Linked DNA regions of Mus musculus: regions 2, 3, 4, 5, 6 and 7 are each reported to be linked to region 1. Evidence: microRNA targets listed by miRTarBase, many of them from high-throughput screens and not tested one by one. Region 1 holds a microRNA gene; each other region holds the end of a gene's coding sequence.

The links. Region 1 holds the annotated microRNA mmu-miR-466i-5p (UGUGUGUGUGUGUGUGUGUG, at 1,662-1,681, opposite strand). A microRNA usually pairs through its seed, bases 2 to 8, with sites in the 3' UTR of a target mRNA and lowers its output. Matches are read on the target gene's strand: a 7mer-m8 pairs with bases 2 to 8, a 7mer-A1 pairs with bases 2 to 7 and ends in A, and an 8mer does both.
Region 2: miRTarBase lists Bcl2l11 as a target of mmu-miR-466i-5p. Seed matches in the 3' UTR shown: 7mer-m8 at 2,788-2,794, 8mer at 1,728-1,735, 8mer at 1,726-1,733, 8mer at 1,724-1,731, 8mer at 1,722-1,729, 8mer at 1,720-1,727 and 8 more.
Region 3: miRTarBase lists Havcr2 as a target of mmu-miR-466i-5p. Seed matches in the 3' UTR shown: 8mer at 2,417-2,424, 8mer at 2,415-2,422, 8mer at 2,413-2,420, 8mer at 2,411-2,418, 8mer at 2,409-2,416, 8mer at 2,407-2,414 and 19 more.
Region 4: miRTarBase lists Cask as a target of mmu-miR-466i-5p. Seed matches in the 3' UTR shown: 7mer-A1 at 1,080-1,086, 8mer at 1,078-1,085, 8mer at 1,076-1,083, 8mer at 1,074-1,081, 8mer at 1,072-1,079, 8mer at 1,070-1,077 and 12 more.
Region 5: miRTarBase lists Appl1 as a target of mmu-miR-466i-5p. Seed matches in the 3' UTR shown: 7mer-A1 at 2,431-2,437, 8mer at 2,429-2,436 and 7mer-A1 at 572-578.
Region 6: the mRNA of Klhl13 is a reported target of mmu-miR-466i-5p. Seed matches in the 3' UTR shown: 7mer-A1 at 2,691-2,697, 7mer-A1 at 2,582-2,588 and 8mer at 2,580-2,587.
Region 7: miRTarBase lists Tmod2 as a target of mmu-miR-466i-5p. Seed matches in the 3' UTR shown: 7mer-m8 at 2,711-2,717.

What each region holds. Positions count from the first base shown.
Region 1 is chr3:28,417,556-28,421,624 of GRCm38, reverse strand. It overlaps Mir466q (microRNA 466q), which reads right to left and starts at 1,682; the gene lies at 1,607-1,682. All of the region lies in intron 2 of Tnik (TRAF2 and NCK interacting kinase), which reads right to left.
Region 2 is chr2:128,158,012-128,162,080 of GRCm38, reverse strand. It overlaps Bcl2l11 (BCL2-like 11 (apoptosis facilitator)), which reads right to left. Exons shown (of 4, transcript NM_207680.2): 4 at 1-3,850. The coding sequence ends at 3,752. Among named protein-coding and RNA genes, the nearest start is that of Gm14009, 9.7 kb to the left of the region's middle.
Region 3 is chr11:46,478,697-46,482,765 of GRCm38, reverse strand. Havcr2 (hepatitis A virus cellular receptor 2) reads right to left here. Exons shown (of 7, transcript NM_134250.2): 7 at 1,511-3,479. The coding sequence ends at 3,320. Among named protein-coding and RNA genes, the nearest start is that of Havcr2, 26 kb to the right of the region's middle.
Region 4 is chrX:13,518,528-13,522,596 of GRCm38, forward strand. Cask (calcium/calmodulin-dependent serine protein kinase (MAGUK family)) reads right to left here. Exons shown (of 27, transcript NM_001284503.1): 27 at 1-3,820. The coding sequence ends at 3,644. Among named protein-coding and RNA genes, the nearest start is that of Gm34836, 49 kb to the right of the region's middle.
Region 5 is chr14:26,920,056-26,924,124 of GRCm38, forward strand. It overlaps Appl1 (adaptor protein, phosphotyrosine interaction, PH domain and leucine zipper containing 1), which reads right to left. Exons shown (of 22, transcript NM_145221.2): 22 at 1-3,816. The coding sequence ends at 3,673. Among named protein-coding and RNA genes, the nearest start is that of Asb14, 27 kb to the left of the region's middle.
Region 6 is chrX:23,217,107-23,221,175 of GRCm38, forward strand. Klhl13 (kelch-like 13) reads right to left here. Exons shown (of 10, transcript NM_001381892.1): 10 at 2,179-3,746. The coding sequence ends at 3,259. Among named protein-coding and RNA genes, the nearest start is that of Klhl13, 150 kb to the right of the region's middle.
Region 7 is chr9:75,570,749-75,574,817 of GRCm38, forward strand. It overlaps Tmod2 (tropomodulin 2), which reads right to left. Exons shown (of 10, transcript NM_016711.3): 10 at 1-3,375. The coding sequence ends at 3,341. Among named protein-coding and RNA genes, the nearest start is that of Tmod3, 13 kb to the left of the region's middle.

The DNA.
Region 1 (4,069 bases):
CAAATCAATGGGGGAAATAAGCTCCTGGTGGTCAGGGTGAAGGTGCGTCCCAGCAACGCTGACTGAGCTTTTGCAAAGACAATGTTTGTGTGCTCTGCGTCCTAGTGGCCAGATGTCTTAGCCAATGGTGATGGGAACTGACTAGACCAATCCAGCAGGGCCAATCCAGAGGAGAGACTTGGCAGGAGACTTTGTGTTTTAAGGTGGCTCCTCCAGTGTGAATTTAGGGAAAATATTCAAAGGATCTGTGGCCACTCTCAGATGTTTGCTTTAAAGGGGGCACTTGTGGGGCTAGCAGGATGGCTCAGAATTAAAAGCACACACTGTTCCTACAGAAGACACTAATCTGGTTCCTAGCACCAGTATGATAGCTCAGCCCATCTGTAAATCTAGATAGACTGAGACTGACTCCCACCCACAGTCACCTAGCACACAAATGATGCACAGACATGTATGCAGGTAAAACAGCCATACACATGAAATAAAAATAAATACATCACATTAAAGGGAAAAAAGGGAGAGGAGAGAGAGAGAGAGAGAGGAGGGATGGTTGTCTCAAAAGAATTAAGACCATACTTAAACCACCCTTTACCTGTTTCCTAAGCTTATTCTGTCTTTCATTCTTTTCTGTTAATTGTATCGGGTGAGGGGCTAATGAGAGCTAGCTGTTACTAGCTGAGTGTGCTCTGCTGTCGTTTGGATGGGGTTTTCCCCATTGCAGCTCTGAGCAGAGCACCTGGTAGGCTCCTCGTCATATTTGCCCTAGCCAAGCAAGCCAGGAGCTCAAGGAAACACCTCTTAAGTGTTTCCCAGTTTGGAGGTTGCACACACATCCCATGTTTGGCTGCTATTATAGGCCAGAAGTTCCTAACACAGTTTGACTAAAATACATCCACTCTTTTCATTTGATGTAGATCTAACCTAACTTGTGCAAAAAATACTTATGCAAAGATACACAGTGATGGCAAATGAAATGCTTCTGTTGTTGTAGTTCTTCTTGTGCTCCTGCAGTACCAAATCTCGGCCACGAGCCACTTGTGAAATTCTGCCTTCTTCATTTCTAACCCTGTGAATAATGTCATTCATCCTGGAATGGAGTGATGGGTTACGGAAGGACAGATCAGCGTGACCTCTCTAGTGACTACAAGCCACTACAATTGTCCTCAGAGATGCCCGAGGTCCTCTGAGTCTCTGGAGCCCTTTTTATATATTAATACAATGACATCAAATGCTATTTTCGCTCTTGCCCCACAGTTGTACAGTGGAGTTTCCCAGAGGCTGCATGCCACAAGATGATGTCATCACTGCGGCTAATGGACATTGTGTTATGCATTAGTAATATTGTGCTTTAAAAAGTCCTTATTGTATTTAATGAAATCACATTTATTGGCACTATAATAAATGCTGGTAGACAATCCATCCAAACATACGGTTCTTGCACTCTTCAGTAGTATTAAGAATATAAAGCACACCTATAAGGCAGCTCAGAGGGTAAGGGTGCTTGCTGCCAAGCCTGACAACCTGAGATCAGTCTCTGGGCACTACTGGGTAAAGGAGAAAATTGACTCCTACGAGTTGTCCTATTATCTCCAGAGATGAGATATGGCATGCATGGGTACGTATGTGTGTGTGTGCACATATACTACACACACATACACACACACACACACACACACACACACACACTAAAGAGAAGGTAATAAGAATATAAAGGAGATTTTTAAAACTGTTTCAGGAGTAGAGGGGTCTTCCTAAGGTAGACTTTAGATAAATATGGTAGTGACTGCCTGTAATCTCAACACCCAGGATGTTAAGACAGGAGGACTGAGTTCAAGACCAGGCTAGACTAGAGACCCCTGTTTCAAGCATGGGAAGGAGTTAAAAATAAAGAATTTCACTAAATTCCTTCAGTTTTCTGCATGAAAATTTCTCAGCTCTTTTTTTTTTGCTCCACCCCACTGTTAAGCACTCTCTTGTGATATATACATTTAATACTTCAATAAAGTTTTATTTGCACCTATTGCAAACCCCACCTTACCCCCCAGATAGTAGTAAAGTCTACTAGTAGTATACCCATGTGGACTCAGCTGAGTAGAATCCAGATGCCACATTCTTCAGAAGGGTTTTCACAGCCCAGAGCAAAAAGTATCCAATTGTCTATTTTCTTCAAGGAATATACCGAGGCTTTCTGAAGCATTTATACTACCTAGTCACTTCGGATCCTACTCTGTTTCTCCAAATATGAATTTCATGTCAGCTTAAACCTAACATGGCTCTCAAACGCCAGTTTTCACCCACTACTTCCACTCATTAACATACTTGTGGTGAGCACCTAATAAAAAGAGAAATGGCAAACTCTAGTCACAAATATAAAACACAAAGCAAACTCGAGAAAAGTTTTTGTATATTTTTACAACTCGGGGAATTTTTCCTCACCCAAATCTAATTACCGGGAGCCTAGGAAGGAAAGTTCACATCATAATGTATGATGAGAAGCGTTTCCTCTAATTATACAAACATGATACAAATAGTTCTGTGCAAAGTGCTTCACTGGATAAATATTAGCATGCCATTATCATCGTTCACTGACTAATCTGGGCACTGGCACTTCTCTGCAGACTTCGTAAAAAACAAGGGAAGAGGAAACGAGGTCATGAGTGAGTCCTGCTGCACACAGGAGCACCCTATGTATCTCCATCTCAACTCTCTAATCAGATGAGAAGCATGCATGCTGCCCATGGCTTCTCGATGAAGATACTGATGCTCAGAAGAGGTCGGTACTTTGTTCAAGACTGAAAGAGAAAACTGAAGCTGGAGCCCATCCCATGCCTGTCTCTGTCTACTCTGGTGCCCGCTTTCCAGCAATCTTTTTTCTTAAGAACCCTCACCCGAGGAAGCATGTTCCAATACCAGTTGACCCAGAAATCAGAGTTGTGAAGGCTTCTTCTGGCGCTGTTTTGCAGCACTTGTGTGTTTTCAACAGGCATTCTTAGTGGACCAACAGAACAAACGATACTGCAGTTAGCAGTTGGCAGAGCACTGTGACAAATGATACACTCTTAAAAGAAATTAGAGAGCAGAATCTACAGTTAACATTGCTTTGTCTCGAGACCAGCTCCCCTGTACACCATTCTGATATGCAAAAGCCAAGCTGTGTATAATGTCCCTTGTATGTATATTTCCAGGGCTGTCCATTTGGTATTGGATAAGCAATTTCTCCTGTTCTCCGCATTTTGTAGGTCTTTGTGTAGGATGGAGGGCTTTCCACTGCCTACTTCAGCATGTCTAGTGTTGCCCTTGTTCAGCTCATGTTTAGATGTTATGGATATAGTTTCTAACTGAATAGGTTGTATTTATGTTTTTAGAGATATACCTACCTACCTACATACATACATACATTCCTAATATGTGTGTATGTGTGTAACAATAAATAATGATAAAAGAGGCGATGAGTTTGAAAGAGCACAAGGCATTGTGGGAGGGTTTGGAGGGAGGAAGGGGATAATGATGTAATTATATTATAATCTCAAAAAGAGGGTAATTTTTTTGAAATGCTTATATATATATATATATATATATATATATATATATATATATATATCCATGGGACATTCATGGGTCCAAGTCAAACTTCTGCACTCTGGGCTGTTGAGGAAGGGCAGGGTCTGCGACACCGACATGCATTTCTATGCCTAAACATAACTCCAGGTCAAATAATGGTAGGCATATCATTGTATATCTGTTATGACCAAACTGGAATTTTTGAAAAGTCTAGAAGGTGATGCATCAAAATGATGAGCCTCAAAAAATTAACTCTGGGCAGTATAATTTCCAACTACAAGATCTTTTTGTAATTGTCCTACTTGTTCCAAAATTATTAATATATAACATGGATAATTCATAAAAATGGAAATGACTGGACTCTATGTAACATATGGTTTTAATAATTTCACTGTCAGCCTGATAAGATAGCTCAGTAGATAAAGCATTTATGCATAAGGATCGGTGTGCAGACCTTCAAATCTACACAACAGCTTGGTAGGCATCGTGGCCACTTGTAATCCCAGCT
Region 2 (4,069 bases), not on the chromosome of region 1:
AAACCATTTCCATGAAGTCACATGGCTCTAGAGCTTCAGTGAGCCATCTTGACGTGGGTGCCAGAACCTCTGTAGAGGGAAGCAGGAGTGGGCTGGCCTAAAGCAGTGAACGGGAAGGGAGCCGAATGGTATAGGTAAGTTCAGTCCACAGACCTCAAACTAGGAAGCACACAGCAGGTGGGGACGGTAGCCAGCGAGTGTCCTGGTGACACAAGTGGCCTTGGCAAATGCTCTAGAAACAGGTCCCACCAGCCCTTCTCTTACCCAGGACAGCCATTCAGCAGTACCTCAAGAGGCAGCAGGATAATATTTCTCTCAACACTGAGTTGTCAAAGATACTCTTTCAATTTAAGGAAAAAAAAATTCTTCCCCATCTGCTGCTAATACTTCTCTAAAGATGTGGCCAACTTACTGGTGAGTCTGATTTTTCTCAGAAGCCAGCTGCTTCAAAAATGGGTTTGATGGGTATTTTCTTAGAGTCCAATCTTCCAGGCTAGCATCTTAGGGTATCTCACCGGCAGCAAAACACTCATTTCATCAGAAAGGCGGCAGAACCCAAGCACTGAATGCCAGAAGCCAAAGCAGAAGCCGCCTTGTGGGAAGAGAACCAGCCACTACCCCTCCTTTATCAGGAGCTGAAGCAATTCATGGCATGGCAGGGCTGTCAGGGATAGGGATGTCAACACTTTCAAGAACTTAAGACATTTAAATAAGCGGAAAATAAATATACAACATCTCTACAAGTTACAGCATTATGAAACAGTAGGGCACATTACACAGAAGAAGAACCTATGGTATTTACAAATCCTTAATTATGAGAAGTTTGGAAAAACAGTGATTTTTTTTTTTTTACTCATTTATGCTGTACAATATTTTACAAAGAAAGGTAAAGGGAACACAATTGCACAGAGACATTTGGCTCAGTTGACGAGTGAAACATGACTTTCTAATCTAATAAATAGTCAAAATATATACAACACTGGAAGGAAATAGGAGAAGCAGACATTACCCATTACATACTTTAATAGAGAGACTTTAAACTGATTTTTCAGACCCCTGCCCCTTCCCCCAATTCATCAATTCTTTTCTGGAAAAGAAATTTGAAGAATCACTCAGGACACCATTTTGTATGTTTATTACAACTTGAGGTGAAGTCACAGGACACTATTTACAAACCTCACATGGGGAGGTTGTCAAGGCACAAAACCCGCATTATGTTTACACACACACACACACACACACACACACACACACACACACACACACACACGAGGGGGAGGGAGATCTAGTTTCTGTCCTACCAAAAACGAGAGAGAATATATTTAAGTACAAAGGCCTACCCACAGTAAGCAGGGGCACTGTCTGTCTGCAGGCGACGTTTGCACTCTAACAAACAGATACAGTACAGGGACATCCAGTCATGTTTACGTTCTGGGTGCCGCATCCTGTTCTTGAATACTTCTACAATTCATAGAATCTCTTATTTCCCTATGAGCTGCTTCAGCGGCCAGCCCCAGGCTGGAGGTAAGCATGCGTTGGGGGCCACACATGTCACTGGGACCTGGCTCTGGAGCTTCTGCACCTGCTCAGGCACTGCCACAGAGCCATGGGGCTGAGACAGTAAAGTGCTCCAGTCGGGGAGACTGGCACATGAGAATGGAGGTCCTAGGAGGGGGGCATGGCCCAGGACCAAGTATGTCTTTGGTGTGTGTGTGTGTGTGTGTGTGTGTGTGTGAGAGCCATGGTTGCAGTTTTAACACCAACTTATAATAACCACAGGGCCTCATGGGAACCATGAGCAGGCTCAATACATCAGGAAAGGAGGAGAATGCCAAAACAGCTTTCAAACCACACCAAATCTAACGAAGCTGGGAAATGTATAAGGATATTTGGAATCAGATGATCTCAATCTAGAAGGAAGCTTATAGGTAATATACATATACATATAAACACACACAACCACGCATATGCACACACACACACACATGCACACACACACAGAGGAAAGTATGAACAAACGGATTTCTCTACTTCATAACATAAGAAAAACCACTGGCTTTCTACAGGCCAAAAGCAAACAGTCGTTGGCACTGCTGACTTGCGAGGAAACTCATAAAGCTTCCTGAGCAAGCTGCCTGACGTCTGAAGTTCTCAGAAGTGAGAGGGCTTGCCATCCCCACTCCTCCCATGCTCTTTCCTCTTGGTCCTTTTTTGTATCTCCCCTGGCTGTCTGCCTACACGTGTGCCGTTTGTTTTGGGAGGAGCTGGAGCTGGGCCACAGCTCTCCACAGGTTAGAAAGTGCTCCTCCACCAGGCTGTGCACTTCCAGTCCTGCCTGGTCTTGAAATAACTGACCAAATGTCTGGGCTGTGGTCCTAAGGGGCAGGGACCAAGAAAGAGCACCTCACCCCCACCCCAGACACAAGTAAGCCCAACAAGATCCAAGTATTAAGAAAATGGAGAGAGCAAAGCAGGCAGACATCTTGTGGAAGACAAGTGCTTTACTCGGCATAATGGAAGCTTCCTATGTCTGGGAACTGATGGAAGTAGAGCCAGCCCCTAACTCAAGGGAATAGAGATGAAATTCAGGAATCACAGGCCAGGTGGGGTGAGCAGGGCTACATCCCAAGAAGCATGGAAAAGGATCACCTGAGCTCCTTGCTCCTGAAATGACCTGGCCAGTCCCCGAGAAAGCGTGGGCTCCAGCTCACCTGATACACACAGCAAAGCAGAGCCTGTGGCGGCAGCAAAGCCAGCAACCAGTGGAGCTAGCGGCTTCAGCAAGCGGTGTGTGAGCCCACGTCCTCTCAGGATAAAAGAGGCAAACACAGCCACCGCAGTGCAGTGAAGCGCACGAGAGCCCTTCCCGTGAGTCAGCTTGATTGATGGAGCTGGGCACAATCCGGGCAGCCCCTAGCCCTTGCTGACACAATACACTTGAAGATACCCTGGGCTGAAGCTGCGCATCCGTGTGGAGACAGACCGAGGGGTCTGAGGAGTTGAGGGAAGCAGGAAAAGTGTGAATTTCTGCTACAGGAGCAACTGAGCTAAGGAGGTAAATATTTACAAAGTGGAAGTGGCGTACCAGAACAGAACCTCTGCCGCTCGAACTCATTCCATTTCCTAAGAACTGTTTTGGTAGTAATAACTCAAAAGGAAACTCAAAGAGGCCATGGCAGAGGAGAGAGGGCAACACCATACTCTTCCTGTTTAAAAAATTCTGTACAGTAATTTCTAAAAATAAACTAAGGCAGCCTTATAAATCAGCTGGCTCAGTTCCCACTGCAGGGTTATGGAATCCTCTGAGTAGGTAGTGGGTTAAGAATTTGAGTATAAAAATCATCCATAAATTGGCTAAAAAGCTTTACTTTCTGAAAGAAAATGAGACAAAAAAAAAAAACCCCAAAAACAGTTATCAAAGAAAGTGGGTTTAAAAAAATTAACACGCCACATGTAAACACCTCTCTTGCATATTTCTCTGTTCCTAGGATCTGTACATTAAAAAGAGAAAAGCCCTCCCTTGTTTACATTCACAACAAATATTTACTGAAAACTCGGCCATGTGGTGATGAACAGAGGTTCCGTTCACATCGACACAGTGCAGAGCGCTGTCCATGCTCAGCACATCTCTCTGGGATAGAACCACTGGACACACTGTCGCAGCACCAAGAGAGGGACATGACGCGTGGGGGTTCTCCCAGTCTGAACAAGAGCCATGTCCGCCACGTATCCTGGCTGCATGTAGATCCTGTCAATGCCTTCTCCATACCAGACGGAAGATAAAGCGTAACAGTTGTAAGATAACCATTTGAGGGTGGTCTTCAGCCTCGCGGTAATCATTTGCAAACACCTGCAACAACAGAAGCAGAGTTCTTAGCAACTCTCTCGTAATCTGGAGAAGGCGCGTATGCAAGGCAAGAGACATAGCCCATCTGAATTGCAGGGAGACTCAAATTCCAGGGGGGAAGGATGTGACATCATGGAGTACAAGTGTACCGAGTGAACTCTCCATCACTGGGGAAACAGAGCGAACAGAAGACCAAACTATTCCAAAGCTATCCCGGAACTG
Region 3 (4,069 bases), not on the chromosome of region 1:
TCAGAGATGGGTTTGTAGCCATGTGAAAGACACCCAGCTTGTTACACCGATGCTGGGCTCTAAACTCCCGTCTTCATAACTGTAAAACATTGCTGAGCCACCTTGCCAGCCTTTGATTTCTTGCTTTTTGAGGGTTTCATTCTTTTTTTTGTTTTGTTTTGTTCTGTTTTGTTTTGAAATTGGGTCTCATGCATCTCAGAAAGCTCTAACCTTTCTATAAGCTTTGAATTCTTTAGCTTTTTTTTTTTTTTGGTTTTTCGAGACAGGGTTTCTCTATATTGCCCTGGCTGTCCTGGAACTCACTCTGTAGACCAGGCTGGCCTCGAATTCAGAGATATGCCTGCCTCTGCCTCTCAAGTGCTGGGATTAAAGGCGTGCACCACCATGCCTGGCTGCTTTTTTAAATTTTTAACTCCGTGTATTGTTATTGTGTCTATACGTGATAAGTGTGTGAGCACAGGCTCAGGCAGTGTGAATGTAGAGGTCAGAGGTCAACTTTCAGGAGTCAGGTCTTTCACCATAGGGTCCAGGGATCAAACTAAGTTGCTGCACATCTGTGTGTAGTATATGTGCCTAAGCACTTACACAAAGACTAGAAGAGGGAATCATGTGTCGTCCTCTGTTTCTCTCTATCTCTATAAGGCAGGGTCTCTCCCTGAACACCAGCACATGAAAAGTCCCCATCCACGCTTTCCTCTTCAGGTCTTCCCTCTTCAATTAACATACTTAGGATAGGTCTTCCCGCCTCAATTAACCCAATTTAGAAAGTACCTCACAGGCACAGCCAGAGATTCATCTCTAAGGATTCATCTTGACCCTGTCAAGTTAGCAATCAATATAAATTATCACACCATATAATCAACCATTCTCTTGTTTCTCTGCTAGGCTGGAAGCCAGGAAGCCCAGTCATCCCCAGTCATCCTGCTCTCTGACCCTCTCCGCCAAAGTGACAGGCCTGCAATAGATTCCAGCCTTGTTACATAGGCGCTGAGTTCCAAACTACAGTCCTCGAAATGGCACAACACTCCCTCTGAACAGCTGAGCCATCTCTCCACCCTCTCATTTTGAAGCCTTTAAGCTACCTCTTTACCATTTCCTGGTCCCTTATACTACCTCATTTTTCCTGTGCCACCCACCAACTCCATCCCAAATACTTGATTTTAAGTGACCCCAAGTCTAAAACAAGGGTTCTAGTTCCAGGTTACTGCCTCCTTCTGGTGTCCTTGACCTGACCCACTTTCTTTGATGGGGACAGGACACAAGAAAATGTTTAGTGGATCTTCCCACTTCACTTAACCTAATCTAGAAAATGCCTCACAGACCCAGGCAGAGATCGACCTCCAAGTTGATTTTATATCTGCCAAGTTATAAATCTTATATAAACTGTAACACCGTGTAACCAACCATCCCCCTACTGATGTAAACACCACAGCAGTGACCATCTTTATATACATGCCCTTGCTTAAAGACTGTCAGATAAGGACATCCTTGAATAAAACCATTGATCTGGTTTAAATATGCTCAAAGTACTTTGCCAGTACAGTTTTATTACTTTAAAACATTTGAGATTAGTTTTCCCTTCTGCATGAGAGCTGTTATCTCTAATGGATTTTGTTAGATGGTCTCCCTTCCATACCCACCTAAGAAAGCCAGGACCTCCACAGCTAGCTAGAAGCAACCTAAACAACAAAATTCATACATGAAAAAACGGTACCACAGGTTTTGGTGTCCTCACTAACAGATGTCCTCTGATGTACACAGTTGCTCCCCAATGCAAAAAAATCTTTGAACAAAGCTACCTTTCTGCTCACTTAATATTTTCACTCGGGGTCTATTTAATTTGATTCTGTTATAGATGGGAGCCAGCACAGATCAAGGGCACTGGGCAGGCAGCTGTAAGCCAGATGAAACTGAGGTCCACCGGCTTGGAAATCAATTTGGTGACGACTGTCCTCCCAAAGAATATTTTGCTGACTATATAGATTGCTGCAAGAGCTCTGCCTTCGTATGTCCCAGTCACCGGTTGTTCTTCTGTCAGAAACAGCTCCAGTTTCCTCCAGGAATGGAGAAGTTGTCTGAGTCAGTTCCCCTTGAGCACACAACAGTCAAAGTTTGCCTTTCGCAGGGTTTCCTTTTACAGACAGCAGGCTGCTTGCGGGTAACCTTTTTCTTCTGTAAGAAGAGTCTGGCAGTGTTGGGCACAGTGCTCCTGAACTCTCCACGCTTCTGCTCCAGCCTTCTGAGTGCTGGAATTAATTACTGGACTGCTCTGCCATGCTCCCACTCATGTCTTAACAGAGGCAGAGGAGAGTCCTGTAGAGATACATGTTATAGAGAGGTAGCAGGCACAGAGAGAACCTTCATTTCATGTGTGTGTGTGTGTGTGTGTGTGTGTGTGTGTGTGTGTGTGTGTGTGTGTGTGTGCAGGTTCATGTGCATGTCTCTTCTGAGAGCAGAGGACAACCCCCATGGACATTCGCCAGATACTCAGTCCATCTTACTTTGAGACAGGGACTCTTGTGGACTTGGAACTCAGCACCTAGGCTAAGCTGACTGCACGCAAGCCCCGGGGATCTGTTGTGCCTTTACCTCTCCATCTCTTGAGTCTACAAGCATGCTCTACCAGGCCTAGCTTTTTCATGTGGGGTCTACGATCAAATATAGATTCCTCGTGCTTGTACAAAATGCACCTCACTGTCCGAGCCTCATCTCCAGCCTCCTGCTGTCTCTATGTTTATTTTCGTCTTTGGATTTTGAGACAGTCTTACCAGCATAGCCCTGGCTGACCTTGAACTTATCACCCTCCTGCCTAAGGTTCCCAAGTTATATAGTGTTAAGCATATGCCACCTGGCTTTTTCTTAATCTTTCAAGGTCAGAAATCTCTAGAAAAGCTACCAACTTCTTTAGATTTTCAACATCAACAAAGAACCTCACCTTCCTATCTTAGCCCTTTATTCCCCCTACCTGTTCAGGAGCTTTGCAGATATACCACAAACCTCTATGTCTCAAAGACATCACACTAACCATTCCTAATGTATGAAAGCACGAGTGAGCTTCAACACGCATGATTGAAGTCTCTGGAGTGGGAGATCCGATCCCTGAAACTCAGGGATAAAATGGAGCATTTCAATGTAGCATGAGTTACAGTCGAATCCCCTTGTGAGTTAATTATCCCCAGAAAACTGGAACTCTTTTCTCAGTGGCTGTGGTCAGAACCTCCAATGAGGTTGCCAAGTGACATATCACATAGTTTTCAAAAAGGGAAATACCAAAGTCAGAAATGAAGGCGAGCCTTTAAAAGTGGCAGTCCAGAGGCGGTCAGGATGGCTGCTGGCTGTTGACGTAGCAGTAGTACTCATTTGAATTCTCCACTTCATATACGTTCTCCTCGATGGTGTAGATATTTTCCTCAGAGCGAATCCTGACTGCTCCTGCATTTGCCAACCCTCCTGGAGGCAAGTTGGCCAGTGTAATAAGGCTGTAACAATCAAATGATGAAGTTGATAGAAGAATTTCCCAGACAACAGGGAATAGAATTCAAAGCATATACTTCACTAAGGACAGCAGCTAGTTGACATTCATGGCCCTTCACTACATGCTCACTGAAAGAAACCCAGACAGGAATTTGTGGAACAATTAAGGACATGTAATTGGATCTTAATTGTCTTAGGTATGAATGCCATAGGTCCCAACTCTGAGGAGGCAGAGGCCAAAGTGTTTGGGATGTGTCAAAATGTATCCAACATAGTTACAAGCGGTTGAGAGAAAGCCCTGTGCTTACTGAGAATTAGACAAGACAGATGTTCCGAGTGTCAAGTAGGAGGTGAAGATGAAGGGATTGAATGTCCCTTGAACTGTTATTTCAACCCTCTGTGTGCTCACCTTTTGAGTTTCAAAAGGAAACTGTGATTGTGTTATAGATTCAACACATTTGGGTAAACTCGTTTATTTGGTTTGGTTTTTTGTTTGTTTGTTTTATTTGTTTTGTTGTTGTTTGAGGTTAGTTGCTTGGTTGCTCATTTGGCTTGGGGTTTTGAATGGTTTTCAGCACTATATTTTATATTTATT
Region 4 (4,069 bases), not on the chromosome of region 1:
TTCAGTGTGCCTCAGCATCAGCATCCTTGCGAAGAGAACAGATGGAGCAGGCTGTGTTCAGTTCTGACAAACAGCCACCACTATCTACCCACCAGAATGCTGACCTGAAACAAGAAGTGATGAGGCATGCCAGGGGCTTGATTTTTGGAATGCTTAGCAGTGTGCCCTCTATTCTTTCCAAGGAGACATTTGTATTAAGAATTCACTAATCAAGCCATTTTCTCCATAGCGTTTGTGACAAGCTAAGCTTATTTTTCCCCCGTGTAAGAAACTGACCTGAGATGCTAAAGGAACATCCCATCAGTGGGAGACAAGAGAATGCTTTGGGCTGCCTCACCCTTAAGGAGCAGTTTCCATTCTGAGTAGCTCCCCATTTCCTGGAGGGTGGTTCAGTTGATTTAACTTTTTGCAAAAAAAAAAAAAAAAAAAAAAAAAAAAAAAAAAAAAAACAAACCAAAACCCTGGTAACCTTAATGAAGAGACCCCTGATTGGAAAACAGAACTCACAGATAAAAAGCTTAAAAAGATAACAGTAGCTTCAAAGGAATGCTTGGCCTGCCTGCCCCAGGCCTTAGATATAGGGAAGGGACCGCTTCCTGCCACTCTTCCTTTGCTGGGGAACTCTGCAGCTTTATCTATTCTGCCACCAATAGCCTGAGACTCTGCCTTCTGAATGCAAATAGCAAGAAGTAGGTCAACTCTTTCTTTTGCCTTTCTGAGCTGATATTTTAAGCCATCTCCTCTGATGGGGTGCTGCTAAAGCAGTTCCAATGTTATCTCGACATTGGGAAACTTCCAGATGAATTAAGCTGAGGGACACATTCCTTTTCAGTGTTCAGATAGGAATACGATGCATGTGAGAAGTAATTACTGCTTTATGATTAGAAAATCAGCTCACTTCATCTTTTAAGCAACGAACTTAGGAGATCCAAACACTCCTTCTCCTGTTGTGGGGAGTAGGGCTGGGGCGGCAGAAAGGACCTGCACTCTGGCTTTCCAACATTTCAGCTGACTACTGATTTAGCAATCTCTGGTAATTTGCTCTAGTGTGTGTGTGTGTGTGTGTGTGTGTGTGTGTGTGTGTGTTCTGGCCGATGAAATGGAAGCAGTCAAGAAGCTTTGAGCAATTTCCTCTGATTGCTCGGGGTACGGCTGTACTGATAGTACTCTGACTTCAGAGATTGTTTTCCTGTAGGTCATAAGCACACTGCTTTAGAGCTGTGTATTAGTGGAGAAGAGCAGGTGAGCTGCTGGGGCAGCCGCTGGGTTCTAGGTGCAGGCTTTCGCCACCTGTATAAGGGCAGGAAGGATGCCACCAGTGCTCTTCTCTCAGACTCCAGAAGGCCAGTGAGGACAGAAGTTCCCCATGTCCCCGAGTCCTGGAGTACCTTTTTCAGTCTGTGCTCACCTGAACTTCAGCTGGCTTCACTTTCCTATGCTCATTCTGTCTGGGGGGACGTGGTAGATGGTCACACACAGGCCTTGCCAGCATTTCTGGAGATGTGCTCTCAAGAGCAAGTGGAGCATAAGGGATTCTACCAGAGGGAGGAATGGTTCTTTTTTTTCCCACACCTTAGTTGTGCTTTACTGGAAGAGGTAGAGCAGGTACTGAGCCACTGAAAAGGGTGCCTTATGCTCAGTACTACTGCAGTAATGATGTCTGGCCTGGGCACTGATTAGGATCGAGGTCAGCACTACACAGCCCTAAGCAACTCCTGAAGTTTTCTCCCTCCACCTAGCAAGAGCTCACTGTTGAGTCTGTCTCTGGTGTGCTGTTAGGCCACCCTTACTTGTGGGACCGAACACAAGTTATTCTCACAGTATCTTGTTGGTAAGTTGTGACCATCTGGGCACTGACAAAGAATGGTCTACAAACAGAAACCAAATGGTATCATGTAATAATAGTTGGGAAGGGTGAGATGCTGAAAACAGGAGAGGAGTATGAACACAAAAATGCCTTCTCTGTTCAGTGCCTAAGAGGAGCTGTTCAGGCCAGAACTCATTCTGCCAAGGCACAAAGTGATGGAGGCCAGCTAACCCTGAAGAAATGAAAACGATGGTGTGTTTCCAAGGACCAGAGTCATGTCAGTGCCCTGTTCTCTCATCCATGAAGGGGCAACACTCTAGTGACCTCTGGCAGTCTGAGAACCCCAGCCTGGGCCTCCTCTAGTGATTCTGACAGCATGGCGGGGGATGACATGGTGAATGCTTTTAAAGCAACAAGGACAGGTGACTCCCCTGTGCCAAGGGATAGAGCAAGAGGAAGGAGAGACCACAGGTGGCCTTGTGAGTCACATGTGGTCCAAGCTGTGCCCTGGCAGGCTGCTTTGTTGCCCTACCAACCGATACTTATTCCTGGGCCTTCGATGGGTCAGTGAGCATCTAACAAATTTTAGAACTTAAAAGATTACCAGCTTGGACCTGAACAAATCTATAATGAAATGAAGGACCCAAAGGCATTTAATTATTGAACACATACAATGAAGTATATTTAAAAAAAATGGTCAGACTGTCCTGTTAGTTATCATTTTAAAGGAATTTACAGGGCTGTTATAGATTATTCTTTTGGAATAATTCAGTTTGTAGCAAATGCCTAAACTGGTTTCTTCATTGCACAGTATATTCTCTTTAAATGGGTGCTTAAAACAATTACATACAGATTAAAAATCCGCATTTCTTTGCTTAATTAAAACGTTAATACTCTTAGACAACACAGATCTGAAATGGCGAAACCAGCAATACCCCCTCCCACCTTACAACAAATTAAATTGAGACAAAATTACAAACACATTTCACTACATGATTATTATTAATAAAAATCAGGTTTTTTTTTTCTGTTTTATAAAGTTGCCCGAAATGCAAGGGATGTGCATAGGTTTACAACTTAGTCATAATAGCAATTTATTCTTACTCCCCTGGGTGTGCCCCGTGAACGGAATGTACTTGGCTGTAATTACAGATTGTTTTGTCCAACACAGACACACCGACAGCATAAACGCTCGCGACTGTCCACATGCATTAAGAGTCAAGACCCAACTTCAAATCTCTAAAAGGTTTACAGGGTGCTTCAAAGAGACAGTATCACAGTATCCGCATGTTACATAAAGGACTTAAAAAAAGAGAGAAAACAGGCCTTTAAAAATTTATGACTGTTTTGTAATCACTAGACTAATCATTTCAAATAAATAAAGGAAAGAAAGGTATTCCAATCCATAAAATCAGACTCTAAAAAGAATGTAGTGTTCCACCCCCAGTCAAGGTAACAGAATCATTGTTTATTATTATTAAAATAGATTATAGAAAGCAGCATCTATTTTGTGCAGTTTTTAGGGGCCTTGGAAATAAAAAGCTATGATTTCCAAAAATATAACATTCCAAAGGATTGAATAATACATACATTTAAAGATACATTTTATTAAAGTTTAGGAGAACTGATTAAAAAAGATACTGTCTCTTTAAATTAGTGTGTAATTGATTTTCTCCTCCTATCTATTCGGACATGACAATAATTATAAATGTAGGTCACACTACAACTAGGTAGTCTCTAGGGACCACGACCTGCTGACACAAGGCCGATAACAAAGAGGCTTTTTCCACGTAGGAGGTGGCTCCCAGTTTTATACTCAGATAGCCAAGGAGAAGCCTAATAGACCCAGGAGACTGGGACCCACTGTGGGGCTGTGCACACAAGCTCGACAGCTTCTTCCAGATGTCTGATTGTCTCATCAATTTCGTTGTTGATAATTGTGAGATCGAAGTAGTGTGCATATGTTCTCTGCAAGACATCGGACTCCTTCTGCAGGCGCTGAAGAGATTCATCCTGCATAGGGTGGTATGGGAGACGGGGAGGGATGGGAGAAGGGAAAAGCAAATGCAAGGTGGAAGTCAGTCCGTGCCTTTCTCTTTCTACATTTCATCCCAGCGTTAGAACGGGTCAAAACTAAACAATAGTGGGGTATGAGGCTAAGATGGCTGTGTGACAGAGATGATGGTCACTGTCCTGTGATGGCAGGGTCACAGAGCTCCCACTGGCAACTGTGACTGGTTGACATGCAACAGGGATCTCTGT
Region 5 (4,069 bases), not on the chromosome of region 1:
GGATCCTTTCCAGGGCAGCTCCTGATAAGAGGTGGAAACCACAGAGAAATGAGAATCAAACGGTGAAGCCACTGCTCTAGGTGTGCCTAATCCTTCAACTTCCATTTAGTCTTAATAAGCTTATGCTATTAAGAATAATATTCCTGGAAAAGAAATACATAGGAATTAGCCCGATGGAGATTTTTAAAGTACTTTAAAAATACTTAGAAGTATTTTGATTAACATTAGTATTTTATGCTATTGAGGCTTATTAACAAAGTTTTAAATAATTTTTCCTTTAAAGTCCATTTCATCTTATCATTAAAAAAGTTCAGTATGGTTCTAGTTTAAAATCTTTATGTTATTAATGTAGAATGACAATTTCAAAGAGAAATAAACTTGCTAAAAATAAAATTAAAAGTTTGCTTGCCATATACAATGGTGTGTTTAAATACTTAAAAGTATGATCTAAATGCTCAGACTGTTATTAGAAGCAAATATTTCCTTTCATTCGTGTGTCAGAAGACTCTGCTTTAAGGGTCTGCCAGCACTGTCAGTTCAAACTGTGAAGAGTGCAGCTCCTGTAGTTACTTGTGTGTTCACTGCACAAAACCATGCTACCTACAATGTTATGCACATCTTACGATCCTTTTCTCAAAAATAACGGCAACATCCTCATCCCAACACTGTGGAGCTTGGAACACTTTTGAAATTGAACACCAATCAATCATTAAGTAATGGAAAAAAACAAGATTAGCTATAGGTAACAGAATGCAGAGTATAATTAGGTAGGCTAAATTTCATTTTTTAAAAAGCAACTTTGTTAATTTCTAAAAAGCTGGGAGACATGTAGCCAGGCAGTGGCCCTCACTCATGCTTGGTGTCCATCTCATTTCCTGATCAAAGCCACTTTAATGAGAAATAGGTACCAGTCCTCAGCAGGGGCCAGGATCCCTCAGGGGAGAGGGCAGAAGATGCCTGGGATCCAGCCCACACTACAGAGGCTAGGCAGAAGGAAGGAGGCAGCCACCTACTAGCACCCCAGCCCTGCAGGGTCATCTCAGCACCCAGGCCTCTCCCCGTGGCTGGGGCAGCCCTCCCCCCCCTCCCCCCAGGTGCATCTGCCCTCAGTTCTTTCTGTGTGATCTATTTTTTAAGAAGAGTTTGTGTTATTTTTTCATAATGGCTGTAGCAGCAGCTGCTGGTTTTGTTTTAGGTGGATGGGGCTGGGAGGGCCATTTCTTCGCTCTGCTTCAGTTGAACATCTAGGACGTATTAAAACAGTGAAGCTTTTCCAGGGCATTTTGAATATGGAAGAGAATCTGAGCAGACGCCCGCAGGACTAAGACTGAAGAGGCAAGGTCTACTTGCCTTGGCTCAGTGACCGTGACAGGAATGAACCCAAACTCAGAACAAGAAAATCAATTCTGTGCCTCCCCCAAAATAAAAAAGTTGTGGGAGATCTTGGCGGATAGTATAACAGAATGACATCTGTACTAACATTTAGGAAGAAGCTGACAGGAGCCTTCTTCAAGCAGAGAGCTGACTACAGCTGATGTGCAGAATTGCATACAGTTTAATAGTGATACAAGTTAAATCACTGAAACGGACTGATCCACTCAGAATGCGTCCTAGGCACTGGAACACATTTTGGTCTGACCCATGGACATGAACACAACTGGGGGAGTTCCTATGAAACATGACTTAAAAAGAATTAGAAAATTCTTACCTCTGGCCTAAATTTTTATCCAAATATCACTATTTTGTTACCATGCAAAGCACCAACCAAATAAAAGTGCCTCCTGATGACTACTCTTACTATAAAACACAGTTCATCTGAAGCAAGCATGACGTCTTCCATCAAGAAAAGATTCATGAAACTGAAAACCTGGGGTGGGGGTGTGGCTCTGTGGTAGTTTAGTAACTGATCACTGCGAAAATCAACAAACAAAAACAAAATAAAATCAATAGCAACAACAACAACAAAACAAGAAGCCTTACCAATATCAAAAAAAGTTTTAAAAGCAAGACTTGTCACCACTAATCACGGTCTAACCACAGCAGTTCACAGTTTTAACAGAGGAAACACTACTTACTATGAAGGCATTCCCTTTAGTAAGCCCAAAACAGACTTTTAGCCAAATGCACTCCATAAATTGATAATTATTAACTGTATGTTTGGGTAACAGAAGACTTTGAAGAGTAGTAAATAACCATTAGTCTCATTTGGCAAATGGAGAAAAAGAATATGATCCTATATATATCGTTATCTTGTTCCTACAGAAAACAGTGTACTTACAGAGTGTGAAACGGAGCTATAAGCTGAAAACTAAAACTTCTAATTCAGAACAAAGAGAAACTACTTGTGAAATTAGTGGTTAACCTTTTGAAAATCTCTAAATGTATGACTATGTAAAATACTAATCAATATATTTAACCTGTATACATATGTGTGTGTATATATACACACACACACACACACACCTTTTCATGTAGAATGAATGAAAATAAAATCTGTAAACACAGTTTAAAGTCCTAGTAAAGAAAGTTTTGACAGAATCACCCTCAGTACACGCTAACTCTGTCCTGCACTATATGAGGTGTTCAGTTCCTTTTCAGTCTTTCATGGAATTAGACCTTTTACTCATTTGAAAAGTAAAAGTATTTACAATTATTAGTGCAAATTATTCTACACTCAAATTAGTTATTTGCCTTTATGGATAAAAAGTGGCAATTCAATACATTATCAAAATGTGGGATTATGAAAATACTGGGGTTATCAGTCTGAAATTCAAAAGATTGTTTTCTAAACTAAACTGCACATTTTTATTTAAGCAATAAACATAATTGTTATAGAACATCTTTTGAAATGTCACTCATTGTCATTTAAAAATTATTTCACAATACAGAAAATACAATGTATCAGTCTACAACACTCCCTTTACATGTCAATTCTAATATAAAATGTTTGAACAACAACAATCTCAATAAATTCTGAAGTCTTACTCTCTAACCTTTCCTGTTCTGCAGCAATAAGTAAAGTCCCAACCTGAGAACTGAGAAGATGGTAACAAAATACCAAGTGCCACACAAACACCAACAGACACTTGAGGTCTCCCACTGCCATGATCTAGTACATCAGAGAAATGGAGCAAGCCACAAAACATCCTGAAGTCAACAGCACCACCTGCCCCGTCCTTGTGATTTTGTGCAAATTCTATTGCACACTCAATATTGTTACAACACTTGCACACTTATAGAATTCTCCACATAAAGGATGTTAAGCTCACTCAATTGAGCCCTCCCTCACTACCAATAAAACATTCCTAATGAAAGGGAGAGTATACACAGGAATGTCAGAATCCAAGAATAAATCATTCCTTATGGAGACAGCCAATTACAGTGCAAGATAAAATGTTCACAATTTAAAGGAAAAATATCTTGAAGACCTGTAATTCCTCAGCAATCTACTACAGAAAAGTAAGCAGGTCTTGTTTAGGAAAGCAGAGTTGGATGACAATGCATAGTATTTTATTTTTACGGGGAAATGTTCGCTATAACCGGTTATCAAGTTCAGTCTTTTTAAATGAAGCTGAAGCACACTACTGTAAAGCTTATCTCTTCCATGATCTTCAGCATGGATACGCTGTGCCACATCCCAGGGAAATGAGAACTCAAAAAGCAGCAACAAGTTTATGCTTCCGACTCTCTTTTTTTCCCTTCTTCTCCCAAATCACTCTCCTCTGATTGGCTACTGCTAAGAACAAGCTGGCCCTCACTACCAGCCTGGTTTGGTCTACTGGAGGCAGCTATCAACCGACTCTGTTCTTCCAAGTCCTGGTGGAAAGATAAAGAAAGAAACTAAATTTAACTGTCAGCAGTCAGATAAAAAACTATGCAGTTTCCGATGGAGCTCTACTATACATGAGAGCTGTTCCAATCTTGTCACATGCACTCATTCTGATAACCTAATGAAAAGAAAGGCTAGATGCAACAAATGAAAACACCAGCATGAATTTTGGCACCATTTGAATAATCCCAAAAAGCAAACATGCAAAAAAAATAATTAAGAAAGAGCAAAGCCCCCCTC
Region 6 (4,069 bases), not on the chromosome of region 1:
AATGCAAGAAACACCTGTATAGTCAACCAAAGGTTCCTTTTCACACACACACACACACACACACACACACACACACACACACGCATACACACACACACACACACACACACACACACAAATGCTGAGAAAGAAATACATAATACTTTCCCAGCTGTTTGAACTATCTAATAATAACCATTACAGTAAAGTGTGAAATTCGTTGCTTCTAAATAACACAAGGCACAGATGCAGAGAAGAGAACTGCATATGTTTTGCATTATTCTTGTGACAGGCTGCTAGAAGATCACCAACCTGACTTTCTCTTCTTCCTTTCTCATCCCCTTTGTGGATGAAGCTAAAGTATTCTGGCAAGTAGTATGTAGCTAGTTACAATGAATGCCTCTCTCCAGGTTGAGCACTCTGACACTCACACCTCTTAATGCTTCATTTTCCTCCTACCAACCGAAGGGAGGAGTTCTTGGCCTTTGGTTGCTTGATCAGGAATGCTGACCTGGGATTCTTACAGTATCATTAGTTGTCTTGTATACACTTCCATTTTCAGGCAGGTGTTAGCTAAAACAAATGTTACTGAATATTCTCATGTATATAAAAGTAAAATCCACAGAGAAGTTTTGCTCAGTTAGAAACATTCTTACCTAAGTGGAGGAACCTTGATGATACTGTAGTGTTTTGGAATAGCCTCATGTTCTGGTTTCAGTTTGCCTTTTTTTTTTTTTTTAAACACAAACTTCCCAGAGATTTTAATTAAACAGTGTTTTAAGTCCCATTATTTTTTTCTTTTTCTTTTGATTTTTATTAGATATTTTCTTTATATATACATTTCAAATGCTATCCTGAAAATTCCCTATACCCTCCCCCAGCCCTGCTCCCCTACACACCCACTTCTGCTTCTTGGCCCTGACATTCCCCTGTACTGGGGCATATAAAGTTTGCAATACCTAGGGGCCTCTCTTCCCAGTGATGTACATTATACACTTAGAGATGAAATGAAAGAGATGGCAATTCTTTTTCTTTAGGGTCCTATGTTAAGAATAAATCTTAGGCAGGTTGATGGTGGCACACCCTTTAATCCCAGTACCCGGGAGGTAGGGGCAGGTGTATCTGTGTGAATTTAGAGGCCAACTAGCTTACCCAAGTTCCAGGACAGCTAAAGTTGGATAGAGAAATCTTGTCTGGACAAAATGAAGCAATAAAATCTAAGAAGTCATTTTATGTGGTTCCACTGGAGTGCACAAGATGGATCTTGAGTGGCAGAGAAACTATCCACAGATATATAATGCAGTATAACTCAGCAAGGTAGCATGAGTTTGTGTGTCTAGCTGCTGAGGCAGTAAGATGGTTTGAACCCAGAAAATTAAGGTCAACCTGGGGAGTAGAGTAACAAAGAGCTTCTCAAGGAAACAGGAAGGGGACGGGAGAATAAAGGTATAAGGAGCAAAGGAACCCTGAGTTGAATGAAATCCTGAGTGAATGTGGAGTGTTGTCATGGACATAGCCACAGCAAGGATTAAGGCCTCAGAACCATGGGAAATTGGCAAAGTCTTTCCTCATAGGGCCCAAGCTTGAAATTGGCAAAATCTTCCACTGGCCCAAGTACAAGTATTTACGAACAACTGGCCTGTTTGCGCAAAAACCTAGCAAATGCAACTCCCTCCTCTTAAATGTTTGTAGCCTGAGACTGCTGGGCTGTATATACCTCCTACCCAGACTAGCCCCCCCTTTCCCACGCTCCTCCCAACATGCTTGGGTTGCAGCAGGTGGAAATGCCACCCCATAAGAGTGGCAGCACCTCACCTGGCCCCAGCTTTTGTGTACATATCTGACATTTATATATTACCCTCATCACCCTTAGATAGGGTTTCTGGACCAAGCTTTGCAGGTCACAGTAGGAAGGGAAGAGAAGAGCAAAGAAAGGGAGGGAGGACATGTAACTGCTTTTAGTTTACCCAGGCTTTGCACTGCTGCTGCTTAAGATCCAATTAGCATCTTTCACAAACCATTTCCTCAAAGGCAAAAAGCAGTATCTACACAGTGAGGTGAGGGCTGGCCCAAGTCTTTGTCCTTTGAATAAAAGTCACATACACATACACCATGTTCGACCTCCTCAATCTCACCCCTTGAAAGATACAGAATAAATGGAAATCAAACTGAGGAGTAACGGCATGGCACAGAGCAGAATGACATTAAATGTTTTTATTGAAGAAAAGAAGGGAAACCATGGACATCATAGAGCAAAAGCAGCTTCCCAGGTGAAGCTGTTACACTTTGTGCTAAATAACCTCATGAACCAAGAGTGTACAGAATACAGAATCCACACAACAGGTAAGTTACTTCAACAGCAAAGGAGAAAAAGAGAATATAATTCTTTATGGTAAAATTTGGTCAAGTGATAAATTTAGTTGCTCAAAATTTCTAGCCCTTATCCACCTAAATTCAGTATGGTTTGAAATATATGCATTTAATGTGTGCATACTGAATCCCCATTTTTCATGGAAGCTGCTTTTTAGAAGAATTTTGTTTAATTTCACATTTATTTGACCTGACAGTCAATTTTTAAAAATTTGTATTTGATATAAGTATGTGTGTGTTCATCTATACACACTTAAAAAAAACCCCAAACCAATTCTTATAAGCAGAGGGGTCATGCTTTCCCCCACAAACTAGTGTTGGTGAATTTCAGTTATTTCTCCTGTGTGTCTTAGAAACTTGGTGTGTTCTCAATGCACCCACACAGTCAGGTGGGTTGACAGATGTGTCAAAAATACTTTATGAAAAGAGGGAGGTAGCTCATGCGAGTTGGCAACCTTTTGTGTACTGTTTCCTATTGGAGCAGGCTGCCTCCCTTTGACATCTTACAGTTAAAGATGAAAGGAAAACTTCTTCACTTTGAAACCTAGTGAGCACAGTTGTACATTTACTATAATCCACCTTCAACTTGGCTTATAATGTAAGATGAGGAATCCCTTACACTCAGTACACAGCATTTAGAAAGTACTGAAGAAACACTTTGTAGACAATACTTTTTTTGTTTTCATGTTAAACATCAGCTTCTATGGGATATATTTCAAGGATGGTTTGTTACCACTTTATAAACATTCTAGGCCATACAAACATCACAAGTAACATCAATGTCAATTTTTTTTCTGTATCAATTACTGAAGGCTAACTCTAACATATATGCTACTTAAGGGGGGAAAAGAAGATAATCATGACACATTGCAAAGATAGGAATATAGCATCTTAATTGTAAGGATGATCTTAGGGTCCAGAAAGAGGGGACTCTCTAGAAGGTGATGGTGTGGCTTCTTCAGGTGGATAAACTGTAAGTGTACAAGCTCGAATACCACCAAGAGACTCTGGCAGATCGAAAACCTTATGCCATTCATTTTTCTCTGGATCATACTTCTGCACTATCTCTACCATACAGCGATTATTCCATGAATAGCCACCAACCACATAGATTTTATTCTCAAAGACAGCGACCCCAACATCACTCTGCCCTCTTAACATGGAAGCAATTGGGGTCCACTGGTCAAGGATAGGTGAGTAGTATTCACAGCTCAGGACATCATCATAATCACTGGTTCCTCGGAAATGGTTGCCACCAATGACGTAGAGCCTATCTCCCACCGTACACATGCAGTGTAGGCCTCGGACAGTGGTCATCGGTGCCTTCTGGGTCCATTTGTCAGTATCAGGGTCGAAGCACATGAGCTCCTTTTGGAAAGTGTCATGGGTAATTCCTCCTAAAGAATGAAAAAATAGGCATGAGCAAAAGAAAATGTAAAAAGTGAGGCTCTCTCAGAGATGATTAACCTTTCCTACATTTTACAGCATATTATAGCTTATAAATATATAGCTGTTGCCGCCCCATATTCTTTAATAACAACAACAAAGAAAAGAAAATCTTACGTTTAACTATTTAAAACAAGTGAAAATATTATATTATTACAGCAACCTTCTCAAATGAAGAGCCATCATACTTAAGGAGTGTCAATAGATGGAAATATATTTTGGCCACTATTAGAGTTAACTGCATAGTAAAATCGAACTACAAAGCATCAGTGTG
Region 7 (4,069 bases), not on the chromosome of region 1:
TCTTATTAGTATTAATAACTCCTTATAAAAAGGAATATCTATGATCTAAATATGACTTTTTTTCTTGCTTTTTGCCAGGGTGTGTCAACAATTGTAACCCACTCTCTACAATATGGGGCTGCAGACAATAATTTGCAGGGCCAGGGCTTCTTAGGAATGGAGGCAAGAGAGTGAATGAAAACAGGAAAAGGAAGCTTGTTAGGGACTCTGCTCTTAAAGAAGTCTGTGGCTGAGAGAGAGGAAAGACACTTAGCATCCTTCCTTTGGCAACAGAGTAACCAAAAATTCTGATTAAAATACACCCTATACATTTCACCCAGGTAGAATGGATGACTGCTTATCAGCCAACAATCTAGAGGAAAGAATGGAGCCATTTTCTTACACATTGATAATTCCCAAGGACTCTTCTCACCATGGCCAAGAAGTTAATGCTGGCAGAGCAGGGGCGACCTGTGCTATAGCACAGCGGTCTGTATGCCATACAGGCACAACAGACGTAAAGAATCTCAAGAGCATAGTTTTGCCTTTACTATCATCGATTTCACTGTAAGTACAAGCCACTTCATGTTCAAGTTGAGGGAGGGGTCTCAGGTAGCAGGCTGGCTTCAGACTTTCTGTGTAGCCAACACTGATCTTGCGTCCACTCCAAGTGCTAGGATCACTAGGGCATGCTACCACACCTTAATTTTTAGCAGGGCAATTTTGAGCAAGAATTTAAAGAATTCTTGAAAACTGAACAAACCAGCAAACCTATACAAACTGGCTTCAATACCACACCCAAGTGGGTGAGAAGGAAGGAAAGATCAGATTAAGGGATAAAACAAAACAAATACATTTTTAGATTGACAGGGAGATAAAGTATTAAGTTAAAGCACTTGGGGGTGACTCAAAAAATGTCAGAATACCCTATTTATTATGTCCTGAAGAGTATAAAAATGAGCCAAGAAAATGAGGTGTGTCTGAGAATTTTTGCTTTAGCTGTGGTTATTTATAGCACAGTAAGTGTTCAGTTTCTCCCTCTAAGTGTCCAGTTTTTTTTCCCAAGGTTCCTGACTCCAAGTTCTTTCTTGTCTGATAGTTTCCCATCACCTTTATAGGACTTAGAGCAGTGGTTCTCAACCTTCTTACTGCTTTTAATACAGTTCCTCATGTTGTGGTGACCCCCAACCATACATTTATCTCATTGCTACTTCATGACTGTAATTTTACTACTGTTTTGAGTTGTAATGTAAATATCTGTGTTTTCCAATAATCTTAAGTGACCTCCATGAAAGAGTTATTCAACCTCCAAAGGGATTGTGACCCACAGGTTGAGAACCACTGACTTAGCGACATAGAGAGAAGGGAAACAAGAAGGATGCTTTGTCATGAAAGGAGAGGAAAAGGAAGGACAAGAGATGCTAGACAGGATCTTCATTGTCAACTTGATGGGATTTGGAATCACCTACGGTGTTACCAGAGAAGTTTAACCAAGAAGAGAGAACTCACCCTGAATGTGGGGAGCACCATCCCATAGGCTGGAACTCCAGACTAAATAAAAAGGGGGGAAAGGAAAGTGGGCGGAGCCCCAGCATTCATCTCTCTTTGCTTCCTGTCTGTGACAGTGATGTGACAACTGTCTCATCCTCCTGCTGCTATCCTTCTCTGCCACAGTTGGTGGCAACCTAAAACTGTGAGCCAAGATGAATCCCCCTTTTCCTTATATTCCTTTTGTCAGGTATTTAGTCACAGCAGTGAGAAGGGCAGCTAACACAGGTACCTGACAGTGGCTGATGTCTATGACAGGAGAGAAAAGTGATTATTTTGGGCCAAAACATTCCATCACTTGGTACCTTAAATTTGCATTATGCTGTCCAGTTGTTGTACTAGGAAATCAGTCACTTCATGGTCACTTCAGTCATGTCTTCACAGGCTCTGTCTTCGAGGTGACAAACATCTTAGCAACTGACAATTCCTTTTAACCTAATGTTTGCAAATAGCTGGATTTACTGTGATATATGACAAAAATCAATGCTTGATTTTAAGCCAAAAGGCAAAGAAGCAATTGCATGTGACAAAAAAACAAAACAAAAAACAAAAAACAAAAAAACCAAAAAACCCCCAAAAAACCTATATAATTAACCACAATGCCCACAATTTAGCTGGTGATCTGGTTATGCTAAAGATGAATCAACAATTGCTTTTAAAATTTGTCAAATTCATTATGTATCAGAAACTTTGATTAAGGTACCATAACTTTTAAATCTATTTTTAATCATGTGTATGTATATAGGGGGTATGTATACCTATGTGTGGATGCCCTCAGAGGCTGGAGGCATCAGAGTCCCCCGAGGATGGAGCTATACAAGTTAGCTGCTTGACACAGGTGCTGAAGCTGAACTCTGGTCTTCTGGGAAAGCAGCAAGCACTCTTAACTGCTGAGCCAGCTCTCCAGCTCCCAAGACGCTGTTATTGTTATTTTATGTGGGAATGTACTATTTTGAAATTTTCTTTTGGTTAAACTTTAAAAAATTTCCCATCATACCTGGAAAGTCTTTCAACGGCTTTGTAAATAATTACCTATTAGAGAATCATTTTAAATATAATTTGGGTTGGAGATGTAGCTCAGGAGTAGAGTGCTTGCCTAGCACACAGGGTTCTGGATACAATTCCCAGGACCACATACCTTAACAAATATGTTTCATTCATGTTTAACAGTAAGTAAAGGTAAGTGTGTGACTTGTTAATATACTCACGGGGCACTAAACAGTCCCTTTGCCAGTGCTACGTTAAAGTGCTTTCTAAGGAAGATCCCACTGACCATCTATCTATCAGTTGGGCATGTGCATGTAGAGACACTATTTTTTTTTTTTTCTGAAATTAACGGAGAATTTGTGAAAGCTTGGCAATACTAACTTCTCATGTGGTCAGTAGCACACACTCCCCATGTTCCTGGCCTAGCTCAAAGCAATGCATGTAAACAGAGATAGGCCTCCACTTTGTCATCAGCTACAAACACATGCTACATGCTAAGTCCCTTCCATGACTAAAAACGGTTCACGAAAGAAAGCAAGACAAACTACAATATGAAAGTGGTTAAGATCATCTCCAGCGTTGTCACTGTCTAAGATCTGTATCACCCTACTTGTGCAAGCCACCAGGTGTGTCCAGGAGCGAGGCAAACTGCTACACATATTTCAGACAAATAATTAGCGCTAAAAAGGAGTAACAGTTAAAGTTATGATGGATATGGTTAACGGAAATGAACAGCCTTGGATCAAATGGTCCGGTGGAGAAGAGGATTTTGGGTATGTTTTTTTGGATGGCCGCACGGTGAGACTTCACCCCTTTGAGTGGGGCTTTACCTCCTGTCTCCTTCAACTCTCTTCTTTCGAACTAGGTAGGAGAGAGAGAAAGAATTAAAAAAGATGAACCAAAGGATATCCTTTAAAATCACTCTAGAGCAGAGTTCTCAGCCTTCCTAACGCTGCGACCCTTTAATATAGTTCCTCCCGCTGTGCTGACCCCCAGCCATACAACTATTTTATTGCTACTTCATAACTGTAACTTGGCTACTGTTATGAATCACAATGTAAATATCTGGTACCATCTGATATGCAGGGTATCTGATATGTGACCCCTGTGGGGGTTGTGACCCACAGGTTAAGAACTACTGTTCTACAGGCTTGTATCCATCTCACAAAGCTCCATGCCACACACCTGAGGGCATAAATCCTCTTAGATTCCAACATTCAGTGAACTATGGCAGTAAATGGAACTGGCAATAATAATCTAGCATGTAGAGGAATTCATATTTAAATAAAGCTATGTCTGGGAACTGGGAACTTAAATGTGAGAGCTTCTCCACGTGTTTATGGAATAATTAGGCAAGGACAGTCTACAGAGTAATGAAATGGTAAATATTCTCATGGGAATTTATACATAGGGCATCCTCTTGTCTTCTGTGCAGTTTGGTCACCAACTGGCCCTTTGTGAAGTTCTCAAGTGAACACAGCCATGCCCAGCATCTCTGATTGTAGCTGGGAGACCATCTATAAACAGAAGCTCCGATTCTCTAAGGCTCATCTTG